Oryzias latipes: one gene and its partners. The protein of the gene in region 3 purifies or fractionates together with the protein of the main gene of each other region. This does not show direct contact. Links are inferred from orthologs where the notes say so. Each region holds a gene or a part of one and is shown on either strand. Other genes may lie near its edges. The genes, in order: rpl35a, kdr and ptpn6.

Region 1 (4,228 bases), on a different chromosome or scaffold from region 3:
ACTTCACTCATCGTCAGCGAAAATCGCCTGGGTGTGAACACAAAAAACGTGGCGAAAAACGCTGGCGAATAACGCCTGGCGAATATTCGTCCCGGTGTGTACGGGCCTTAAGAGCGGGGGGCGTTACCTCCGAGAGACAAGGGGCGTTACCCCCGAGGGATAAGGGGCGTTACCCCCGAGGGGACAAGAGAAGAAGGAGCATTACTCTAAGAAAGGAGGTTATGGGGGCGGCGCCCTCAGAAAGCAGGGTACAGGGGCAGAGGACTGAGAAAATAGGCTACGGGGACATTACCCAGAGGGTGGAGACTACGGGGGCATTAACCAGAGGGTGGAGACTACGGGGGCATTAACCAGAGGGTGGAGACTACGGGGGCATTAACCAGAGGGTGGAGACTACGGGGGCATTAACCAGAGGAAGGAGGCTACGGGGGCATTAACCAGAGGAAGGAGGCTACGGGGGCATTAACCAGAGGAAGGAGGCTACGGGGGCATTAACCAGAGGAAGGAGACTACGGGGGCATCAACCAGAGGAAGGAGGCTACGGGGGCATTAACCAGAGGAAGGAGACTACGGGGGCATTAACCAGAGGAAGGAGACTACGGGGGCATTAACCAGAGGAAGGAGGCTACGGGGGCATTAACCAGAGGAAGGAGACTACGGGGGCATTAACCAGAGGAAGGAGGCTACGGGGGCATTAACCAGAGGAAGGAGGCTACGGGGGCATCAACCAGAGGAAGGAGACTACGGGGGCATTAACCAGAGGAAGGAGGCTACGGGGGCATCAACCAGAGGAAGGAGGCTACGGGGGCATCAACCAGAGGAAGGAGACTACGGGGGCATTAACCAGAGGAAGGAGGCTACGGGGGCATCAACCAGAGGAAGGAGGCTACGGGGGCATTAACCAGAGGAAGGAGACTACGGGGGCATTAACCAGAGGAAGGAGACTACGGGGGCATTAACCAGAGGAAGGAGGCTACGGGGGCATTAACCAGAGGAAGGAGACTACGGGGGCATTAACCAGAGGAAGGAGGCTACGGGGGCATTAACCAGAGGAAGGAGGCTACGGGGGCATCAACCAGAGGAAGGAGACTACGGGGGCATTAACCAGAGGAAGGAGGCTACGGGGGCATCAACCAGAGGAAGGAGGCTACGGGGGCATCAACCAGAGGAAGGAGACTACGGGGGCATCAACCAGAGGAAGGAGACTACGGGGGCATTAACCAGAGGAAGGAGGCTACGGGGGCATCAACCAGAGGAAGGAGACTACGGGGGCATTAACCAGAGGAAGGAGGGTACGGGGGCATCAACCAGAGGGTGGAGACTACGGGGGCAAACAGGATGTAACACGATGGTTTTGATCAGGCAGCACGGCGGCCACCTTCAAGACTGGCACGATCGTTTTGATGCCGTTTGTTTTAACTTTTCAGCAACATGTACAGAACGATGATGTTCTCCAGGACAGAACTGAAACGGGCGCTACCACCTCTGGATCCAGCAGAACCACAGTTCCAGACGGTCTAAACCTCCAAACCCACCACTCTGATCCGGTGTCCGATGGCTTTGGCTGGCAGGTTACTGCTGAACTTGGCCCGGACCATCCCACTGTTTCCATGAGCCCGCGTCACTTTGCCCCAAATGACCCGGGTCTTGTTGGGTTTTCCACCGGGTGTGACTGTGTTCCTGCAAAATTCACACTTTTAGCGACAAACACAAGCACTCACAATAACACAATAAAACCAGCCTGACTTCTTGGCCTTGTAGACGTAGGCGCAGCGTTTGCCCAGGTAGAAGTCCACCTGGTCCCGGCTGTAGCAGCCCTCCAGCTTCAGCAGCGCCGTGTGCTCGCGCTGGTTCCTCAGGCCGCGCTTGTAGCCGGTGAAGATGGCCTTACTCCACAGTCTGTCACACAAACAGCAGCCAGACCGGAACCGGTGGTTACAGACCGCAGTCTACCGACACCCAGATCATCACTATCGGTTCTGGATGTTCACACCAGATCCAGCACGGATATGCTTTAGCAGGAACTCCCTTATCAGGTCCAAATTCAGGGCAGAACCAGAACATCAGAATTCAGCAGCAGAACTATGAGCAGATAAAACTCACCTTCCAGGCATCGTGGTTCTCCTCAGGTGGATTCACCTGCAGACAAACAGGACAGCCGGTCAAACGTCTGCAGGACTGGAATGCTGGGAGGAGGTGGTCTGTGTGCCGAGAAGGAGCTCCTTCCACCGGGAGGAGGTGGCCGGTGTGCCGGCACACTGAACACCCGACACCGGCACACAGAGCCCCTTCTCCCGGCTGAAGGACGTCCGTGTGCCGGTGGAAGGAGCTCCTTTTCCCGGCAGACGTAGCTTCTCCCAGCCGGGATAAGAGGTCTCTCTCCCGGCACACTGAACTCCTTCTACCGGCACACGGAGCTGCTTCTCCCGGTACTCCTCCTTCCTCCAGGGCACTGATAAACAAAGGCACTAACGCCGGATCTGCTCCGTGCTAAGCAGAGCCGGTTCCGAATCCGGAGGAAAAGTCGCTGCTGATGATCCGGGTCGGCTCATTTCACAGCCGCGCTGTTAGCAGCAAACAGCATGATAATCCACGCCGAATCTACGTCATCCGAACCCCCCGCGCGCTCAAAAATACACCAGACAGCGGAGGAGAACCCGTCCGGACCGAACCGGTAGTTATGGGGTAAACATGAACGGGTTTGGGAAGAAGTTTGGAAGAATTCACTTCGTACCTGTTCTTGTTCCGCGTAGATGGAAGGAAAGGCCAGCCGAAGGGAATGCTGGGTAATTGGTGTGAAGATAGGTGTCCGCGGAGCTGCCTGATCAAAAACCTTCTGACATCGTCAAACTGTTTTAAATGTTATCATAACTAAAGTCGCTAAATTCATCTTCAAACAGGGTTTCTAAATAAGATGGTTTTATGGTTATATATTTTCTGGAAAATAAATATAAACAAAGACACGTCAAAGTTCAGTTGAATTGATTGAAGATACGTTCAGTTCATTCAAATTAGATTTGACACACGTCGCCATTGGAAATTTATTTAGTTTAATTTCTAATTACCTGAAAGTTATTTTCCTGACCTGAACAATAAAAGGCGACAGGAGAGAAAACCTGCAGAGATGTGGATGAAAAGGGGCGGGGCATGTAGATGCAGCGATGAGGGCAGCAGGGCAGATGGACAGACACGAGGTCACACATCTGAAAGCAGAGAACCGCAGGGAGGCTGAGGATCACTGGAACGTCTGTCCAGCCAGAACCGTGTGGGGCGAGCAGAACCTCCTGAAGCCCGTTCTGCAGCTCTGACATTCATGTCCAGCTCAGACGTCTGAAGACGCCTCCATGTCAAACCTCTTATCCAAACCCTGCTCCTCTGGAGGCTCTTCTGATCTTGAAAGTTCTGGTGTTTGCATCAGCGCTGCCGTTTCCACGGTTAGAACCTTCAGCTTTTCTCCATGAGTTCCAGGACCCAGGCTTTGGTGTCTGCAGGGGAAGCCAGGTCCTGATGGGACGTCCTGGCAGAGAGCTGAACCTTTCGGAGGAACCTGGGCTTCAACAGGAAGTTCCCAAGCAGGAAGTGAGCTGCACATCTCCAGTCCACGGCGAGCTCAGCAGGTGCAGCACGTGCACGGCAGAATTGTCCCGACCCTTCGCCGTCTGCTGTCAGAAGACTGAGAACACGCTTCTGAGGATGTGGGCGTGTCATGGTATGACCTTGGCCCCCACATCCCCCTGAAGGTCCCTGATCTGCTGCTGAGGCCCGTTACCGTGGAAACAGAAGAGTTTCAACAGTCGTCTTTATTTCATTTGAAGTTGCAGAAGAAAGTAAACAGGAGAAAGTCTCTCTGGACCAGTCACTATGGCGACAAGGAAGCCTGGTCTCCATAGCAACAGGAAAGCATCAGTCTCATATGTACAACATACACAGATATGTAAATATTTACACGTGTCATCCCATCATGCAGCAGCAGTCGTCCTGTGAGGACTCAGCTTTAGTGTTTACATCAGTGGTGATGGGTCACCGCCCCCCCCCCCCCCCCCCCCCGGGTCACGGTCCTGGATCTGATGGAGACACGAACCTGAGCCCAGACAGGTGGGGGTGGCTTAAGCCAGCTAAAGGTCAGCTGTGATGACGAGCTAGCCCGGCTAATGCTAGCTCGTCATCACAGCTGAAAGGCAGGCGTTCTTCACGGGACGCTAACGCGTGGCGTCCGTCCCCAGCGTTG
Region 2 (3,646 bases), on a different chromosome or scaffold from region 3:
TTGCATCTGAAGTCTCAGGAGAACAATAGGCTGTCTGCCGACTGCCTTCCCTCCCTTTTCCGCAGGATACAAGATTCATGACCTCACCCTGACCCCTGTGCAGCAGAGGCTGGCTGTAGGGGAGCAGCTGGAGCTCATCTGCACTGCCAACACCGAGCTCAACGTAGGCATTGAATTCAACTGGACCCACTCGGGAGGGGCCCTGGTGAGTCTCACGCCTCACCCTCCCCTAATCCTCCACCCCCCACACCAGACACATTTTTGGTGAAAACGCTTCAGTGACGTTCATACCAGAACTCCGGGTTCTCACTTCCTTGTCTTTTTTAAAATATTTGTGACATTTTGCTTCCAAGCATCTGTCAGTTTATTGTGTGCCTCTAGGTCAAGGGTCCAACCTGAACCTCTCAAAGAGCCACTTCCATCAGTTTCCCACAGAAATGAAGGCACAGGGAGCCGCAACACTAGGGGTGTTAGAAAAAAATCGGCGATATATCGTGATAGTTCATTTGGCAATGCTTGTATTGATTAAAATACTATCAGGATATTCATTCAATTATTCATTTAATTATTTATGAGCGTTATGTTTCTTTGAACTGTTGTCCATTTTCCACAATCTTGAATAGACTTTTCTGTCTGTCAAACACCCAGAGTTAAGATGAGTGAGATGATGGAAACAAATTCACTTTGATGCAGACTCCATTCTATTTATTTATTTCTTTAAATCCAGTAAACCCAATAAATTATATTAATTTTATGGATGACAACTATTTTTTATTAGGAAGCAGCTGTTGCGGATCTGGAATCATCAGCAGTGAGTCTGAGCCCCGCCTCCGCCTCTCTACCTGTTCACATCCTCTGCAGCTCCAAGTTGTTTTCCCCCGCATGCAGCTCATGTAGTGTGTAGCTTTCCACAGAGTCCGTTGTTAGACCGTGGAACAAGTGAACAAAACAATGAAGCTCAGAGACGTGAGTCTTTCTGCCCTTTTTCAGCAGTTTTCACACTACTTCTCCCATGATGCATTGGCTTAAAGGGACAGTGTCCCAGCGCACAATGAGTTGTCCTTGTGAAACGTCTTGAAACCACAGCAAACAAACAAACAGTTTCTAAATTTTTCTAATTTAACCTTTATTTCATCTCTTAGAAAAAAAACAGCCACAACTTCCTGCTTTTTCTGCCACATTTATCACAAAAATCCACGTGAGATTGCGGGGGGGGGGGGGGGGGGCGGCTGTCGATCAATACAGACCATGAATTCCTGCTTTTTTTTTTTTTTTTGGATCGTGGTGTGCTGCGGGATTTTTGTCAAGGTTAAAGTGTGCCGTGGCTCAAAAAAGGTTGAAAAACACTGATCTACACAGACAGCGCAACATGGTCAAAGGTCAAGAGGCAGCTGAGATGTTTTAAATGCAAACATGGAGAGATGTTCCACATCAAAAAATATACAGTGTTACCTTGTTTATCACAGGGTTAGGTTCTAAAAATAACCAGCGATAGGTGAACTACAGATGTTTTAAGGATGTAAAAATCTTCACTACATACTTTATCCATGTTTCTTAGACAGAAATGAACACTTTTACAGTTTTCTCTTTTGTTTAAATTCTCAATGTTCAAACCTTCATGGAAAAAATGTCCAGTTTTATAGAATGAAAACAAATTACTGATCACAATGAATATTTATGTAAATACGGAAAGCTGAACTATTTCAGCTGTCCTTATGGCACGGAGGAGATTGATCGACAAGGTCAACAGGATGCAGAACACAGTGCACTGTTAAATAAACAAAGCATGCAAAGTTGCACTGAAAAAACATCTCAAAAATAGTGAGACCACAAAAAGTAAACCACATATAGTGAGGGAACACTGTACATTAGTTCAAGAAATTCACATTTAAACAAAGTTATTTCTTGTGTCCTGCTAACTCAGAACTCCGGGAAACTCCACACGATTCCCCACAAGAAGAAGCTGTGGAACTCTCTGGAGCTTTCCAATACTCTTATTGTGGAGAACGTGACAACGGAACACTCTGGAGAATTCATCTGCACGGCATCCAGCGGGCAGATGGATGAAAGTGCCTCTGCATACGTCAAAGTCTACGGTAGGTGCACTGGACAATTAAAATGGATTAACAAAAATGCTTTTCCATTCACACAATGTAACTGCATCAATTGACTCAGAAATAAATGAAATGATCAAGAAAATGGTTTTGACATTTCATTTTCAAAAAGTTCTCTAGTAAATGTGTACCAAAATTCAACTAGAAATATCTAAGTTGATAATTAAAATTGGATTAACAGAAATGCTTTTTCTTTTTCACAATGTAACTGGATCAATCGACTCAAAAATAAAATGAAAAATCAATCCTCCAAAATGTTTCTCTACTTGAACAGCTCCCAGTCTTTGACGTGATTAAAGCGATAATGCAAAGAGGGGATTGCACTCCCCCGGAGTGCACACCGTAACAAAACCCCCTTCCCTGCCCACAAACACGAAGCTATGAGTCCGGCTGCACTGATCAGAGTCATACTTCGCTCGCCTGGAGCAGCCGGCCGGCCGGCCGGCCGTCCTGTTTGCGCTACAAAGCCTTCCCTGGAGCAGCACACCGAGTGAACACTGACATCATTGCCCTGCCTCCCTCATGGAACAGCTGATTGGAAAGGATTTATGCAACAGTTTTTGCATGGTGGATGTGAAAATGAAAATGCAATCCCCTCTTTGCATTAATGCTTTAATTATGTCACAGAATGGGGGTGTTAAAGTGGAAAAGCATTTTGGAGGATTGATTTTTTATTTTACTTTTGAATCAATTGATGCAGTTACATTGTGAAAAGGAAAAAGCATTTTTTTAATCCATTTTAATCATCTACTTAGATACAGTATTTCTAATTGAATTTTGGTACACATTTACTAGAGAACTTTTTGAAAATGAAATGTCAAAAAACATTTTCTTTGTCATTTTAATAAAGTGACAGACTGAGCGGTGAAGAAGAAGAAAAAAACTGTTTAGCAGATTTATTTTTCATCTAATTTTTGAGTCAATTACGTAGCTTTATTGTGCAAATGAAAAAACATTCAGGTATTAACTTCTATTTTGAATGATGAGACAGAAATGCTTCCATAGAGCAGGGGTGACCTGGTCTATAATACAGCTCATGCTGGGGCACCTGACGGTTTTCCTTACTACACACAAAAGCTTGGACATAGTTTAGTGTCAATAACAAAGCATCTCATCTTGGCTGGATGAATTTATCAGTTGCTGAAGTCTTATTTGCACAGTTTTTCCTTCCATGAACTTCCATAAGATCAACATTTTCAAACAATTCAAATAAATATGAATAATTATGTTGTTATTTTCCTGCAGAAAAGCCTTTCATTGAAATGAAGGAACCCTGGCCAAAGGTCTGGGAAGTAACGGTGGGAGCTCAAGCAAGTTACCCTGTCAGGTACTCTGCGTACCCTGAACCCAGCTTTAAATGGTATGTTCATGTAGCAGTGGCAGTTTGTCATCAGTTGTGTGTCATAAACAGTTCTTTTATTACACATGAAAAAGCTGCACATTGCACATTTTTGTACCATTATTCTGTTTAGGTTAAAAGATGGCCTAGTACTTAAGGAGAGTTACAGAATCAAACAGAAGAGCGACGCTCT
Region 3 (4,249 bases):
ACAAAAACACCAAGGCCACACCAAGAAAACTGTTAACGGTTTCTTTGTGATGGCAGCAGGTACAAAAGCACCAGGTGAGGACTTTTATACTCAGTAAACCGACATAAACGTGATGGTCCTTTTCAGCCTGGCTACAGCTGCGAGCTTATCAAATATCGAAGTCAATCGATCCTATTAAAAGATTTTTGGCAGCATGTGTAACAACAAATTTATTTTCCATATTTTTAAGCTCAACTTGGGCGGCCAAAGGAGGAGAAATATTAGAAAAATGCGGCTTTAGCATCGGAATAAATAAAAAATCAGATTTAATAGACAATTTTACAAACAAAAATAACATTTTTGGTTCATCAAACTGTCGATCAAGCTTTCAGACTCTTTTTTTTTTTTTTTTTTTTTTTTTTTACATAAAAACATGTTTTTTCTGTTAGAATTATTGTTTTTTAATCCAAATGAAAGGATAAGAATTAACCAAAATGCATTTTTTTCTAAGAAAGTGGCCTTGGGAGTAAGTAGATCATTTAGAGCTGTGCACTTTTTCACACAAAATTGGAAAGTGCTAACTGTTTTCACAAAGTGGAGCTTGGAAAGGGATCTTTTGCTGTAAGAAGTTACAGATAAGACATCTAAAATGAGCAAATCTGACTAATTTTCTGCTGTTGTTCAAAGAAGATGCAACCACGTCTTTTGGAGTTCTGTAACAACCTTTTTTTTCAATCCGCAAAGTTTTATAAATTATAAGAATCGCTTCCATTGCTGCTACTTTTACTCACTTTAAGAAAAGGCCTCCAACAAAACTGGCATGTGTGCGTAGATCATTCGCATCAAAATATAGGCCCTGGCGGGAGCCTGCAGCTCTCAGCTTATTTTCTTATCATCAAATAAAGGCTGCAAAACTTGAAAGAAGTTTTGCAGATGCAGCTCATGTGCTGCATCTGTTCACACCAGACATTACCTGACAGACAGGGAGAAATCTCCAACGTTTTTCTTGCTGGGTCGAGCTAAAAAGCTTCCGTCAATGCCTCGCAGCTTCAGTATTTCCTCAGCCTGCAGGCCTGTGATGTCTCTGTGGAACCACCTGGATCGACGCACAAAGATAGAAAAGATGAAGCACAACAACATTGACCTAGTAGAAGGCATACATGTGTCACATAGATTTAAAATGTACAGCTTTAAATAGACCAAGAAAATCCAGGTGCACGCATACGCAAAAGAGAGATGGGAGTTTCTCGACAAGATCAGGGGTGCAAGAAAGTGTAAAGATGGAGAGAAAAGCTGTACTTTTTAATAAAAGAAGGGAAGAAATTCAGGTGATGATCTTTTAAACATTATTAGGTTTCATTACAATCTTGAGTAGATTCTTTGTAAAAATCCTCAAAATCAACATATTCATTTTTATATTTTTTGTTTTAGAGTCTCAAACATAAATAATACTAAGGCAGAGGGTGACTTTAACGTGATAAATTAAAGGTTTTATTAAAGCCTTTGGTTTCACTGGCCTAAGAAAGATAAAAGACAATTTCATGTGATGAACCACAGTCCAAATCCTTGATCCAATAAGGGTTTAACATAAACCTTCAGAAACTATTTTCACTTTACCTACATGCAATTTGTTGATCATCAGGAAAACAAAGCGTGCATTAGGGCATAGTCAGTAATGCTGACGTACTTTAATAAATTATGTTGCTTTACAGCCTTATTAGCTAGACGAATAACCAGGTTTTTAAAATCTGACATATTGCACAAAAAAGGTTAATAACTGTTTTCGAACACATGATCTGTCTGACACTGTGGAGCTTTGAGGAAACAACAGAACTGAAACCTAAACACTTTATTTATGTCCCAGTCTCTTATACTGAACTTGCAGGGTTTAGCTGACGAGGGATCACAAATGACATGACAGAAGAGGAGCAGGACAGGCCAGCAGCAGGGAATAGACAAAAGGAGGAATGGAAACAGAGAAGTTGTTGCACAAAACACAAAGAACAAAACCAGAGTTTGATGTGTCCGGCAGAGGCTTGACTCACCGAACCATGGCGTCTCCTCACTTTTTCTGGGACTAAAGAGAAGAAGAGCGATTTGGGAAGAGTCGCTTGTTCCTGCGGCACATGTGTAGACTCAGATCACACACTTTGGCGTTGAAAGTTTGTGTAGTTTTTGCAGCTTCCTTACTTTTGGTCTACTTGAATTGTACATTTACCGCAAACACATTTGGTATGTCAAGCGCTAACTTGACCTTCAACTTAAGATATTTTTATCAAGAATCAATTAAATCTAATTGCCTTTGCTCTCCCTCTGGTGTAACACATTAACTTAATACCCACCCCTGCCCCGCCACCACCCACCAGCGGACCGCCGCTGACCCCGGTTCTCAGTCTTCCCTTCAACAGCAAAAGCAGGTAAACACTTACTCTCCTCAGCTGCTCCTGAAAACAACTGACACTGGTCGAGACGTTGACGCTGTATGTGTCTGTCTCCCCTCCTCTGCGTCGTGCTCATACGCTCTCCCCTTCCTTCCTTTCTACGTCTCCTTTCACAAAGTAGTGAAAGCAAGACAGGAACCAAAATAGCTGACAGGCCGGAATTCCTCAAGCAGATAAAGATGGTGTCTTTTTTTTTTCTTTTTCTTTTATTGATGACCAAAATAAAAACGTTGCCAATCTAAGAGCAGAGAAGGCTTCAACTCCATCACCTCCGTCTTCTGGAAAAACAGCTGCAGAGCTTCTTTAGATGACTCCTCTGTTCAGAGCTGTGAGACAACGGCAATTCCAACAGGCGTATGGTTGAAAAACACCCTCCAAAAAGGCAGTTCCATCTCCTCATCAATGCACAAATATGCCCGCTCTTTGTCTAACAGAAAGTATTTGCAAAGTTTCCTCCACCTGTCGGCTGAATCTGCCCTCTGTTCTTTACTTCCAGGTGTGTACGAGTGTGCGAAACACAAAGGTCAGAACAGAACACTTCCTCATTTGAACCTTCCCCCCTCTGCATGTGTGAGGCTGCATGTGTGCGTGTGCTGCTGCAAGCTGATATATCATGTGCTGTTGTCAACTGTTTTAATTTAAAGAACGCCGATCCAGCACCTTGAAAATTGCTGCTTTATCCTTATACGGAGTAAATTATCTGCAGCCACAAACACAAAGTACATATTGTGACTTTTAGGGGAGTTTTTTGTATCCCTAAAAACAACACAAAAATTTGCGTAGAAGCAAATGCACAACAAATGAAAATGCAAATACAGTAGCAATTATTTCATGAATTCCTCACAACCAGATAGCATGTAAGTGGAAAATAATGGTTTCCTACATGAGGTGTAAAATCGTTCAGTGACTAGCGGACTTTGGTGGTTTTATGTGTTTGCAGCAAAAAATTAAAGGAAAAAGTGAATAAGTGTGTAGTTTCTAGTACATGGTGCAGCTCTCCCCGCCCCTGCACCAACAAACACACACATGCAGCCCTGCAGGTGTCGTCGGGGTTAACGCCCGCTATTGTTGTTTGCATTATTTGCCTCACTTGCGCTTTGCAGTCAGACTTGGTTTGGGGTCTCTTTGTTTCTCAGATGTTAAGGCTTCAAATCTCAGACAAAGGCAGACGTTTTTCACACACGTATAGAATGGCTGTACACCTACAGTGATGGAAAAAAGGTTCCTGATTTGATCTTTTCACTTGGGCTATCAGGTTTGCTTGCACTGCGCTGCAAACTGATACTTTGAGCATTTTCTGCCTCATAAAAAAGGTGAACAGAGAAACATCTATAGTTTGTTGATCTTATTAAATGAACCAATCAGTAGGAATAGAATTGATTGAGTGCATGTTTTTTCTTCAGGGAAAAACAACTCCTTTATTTTGATTTTAGATATTTAGTTACTTTAAGCCCTGCAACAAATTGGCTGCTTCTCCAGGGTTTATCCAACAGTAACAGGGATAGGCTCCAACAACCCTATGACCCTGAAAGGGATTCAGCAGGTTCAGAGAACTGATGGATGGATTGTAGCTTTGAAGTCGGTTTAATGGTTGTTGTTACTTTAAATGTTATTGTTGCTTTTGATGTTTAAAAGTCTGAATATCATATTTAAAATGCTGCTATAAACAGCTGCTTGATGGAGAACTGAATTTGAATTGTGCCAGTTCCTGGCAAGCTAAGTAGCAGCTGTGCTAAAAACAAACAGCTATCTTTGGAAACATGGGCCCTATAATACAAAGCAGTCTGGAAAGTTGACGACTGAAGATAGACACCAAACTTTCTAAAACG

Evidence for each region.
Region 1: the proteins of ptpn6 (region 3) and rpl35a purify together in Homo sapiens (affinity purification with mass spectrometry; 3 studies listed by BioGRID and IntAct, with this or other methods). This does not show direct contact. The link is inferred for Oryzias latipes from reciprocal best matches to the Homo sapiens genes PTPN6 and RPL35A.
Region 2: the proteins of ptpn6 (region 3) and kdr purify together in Homo sapiens (affinity purification with western blotting; 3 studies listed by BioGRID and IntAct, with this or other methods). This does not show direct contact. The link is inferred for Oryzias latipes from reciprocal best matches to the Homo sapiens genes PTPN6 and KDR.

The regions. Positions count from the first base shown.
Region 1 is NC_019871.2:2,407-6,634, forward strand, and holds the start of rpl35a (60S ribosomal protein L35a), read right to left. Parts: upstream 2,828-4,228; 5' UTR 2,735-2,827; intron 2,140-2,734; 5' UTR 2,115-2,139; coding exon 2,104-2,114; intron 1,900-2,103; coding exon 1,747-1,899; intron 1,681-1,746; coding exon 1,536-1,680; intron 1-1,535.
Region 2 is NC_019862.2:260,594-264,239, forward strand, and holds part of kdr (vascular endothelial growth factor receptor 2), read left to right. Parts: intron 1-65; coding exon 66-205; intron 206-1,924; coding exon 1,925-2,096; intron 2,097-3,359; coding exon 3,360-3,474; intron 3,475-3,586; coding exon 3,587-3,646. UniProt on the Homo sapiens protein: Tyrosine-protein kinase that acts as a cell-surface receptor for VEGFA, VEGFC and VEGFD. Plays an essential role in the regulation of angiogenesis, vascular development, vascular permeability, and embryonic hematopoiesis.
Region 3 is NC_019874.2:20,377,533-20,381,781, forward strand, and holds the start of ptpn6 (tyrosine-protein phosphatase non-receptor type 6), read right to left. Parts: upstream 2,927-4,249; 5' UTR 2,409-2,926; intron 2,097-2,408; 5' UTR 2,033-2,096; coding exon 2,025-2,032; intron 1,076-2,024; coding exon 953-1,075; intron 1-952. UniProt on the Homo sapiens protein: Tyrosine phosphatase enzyme that plays important roles in controlling immune signaling pathways and fundamental physiological processes such as hematopoiesis.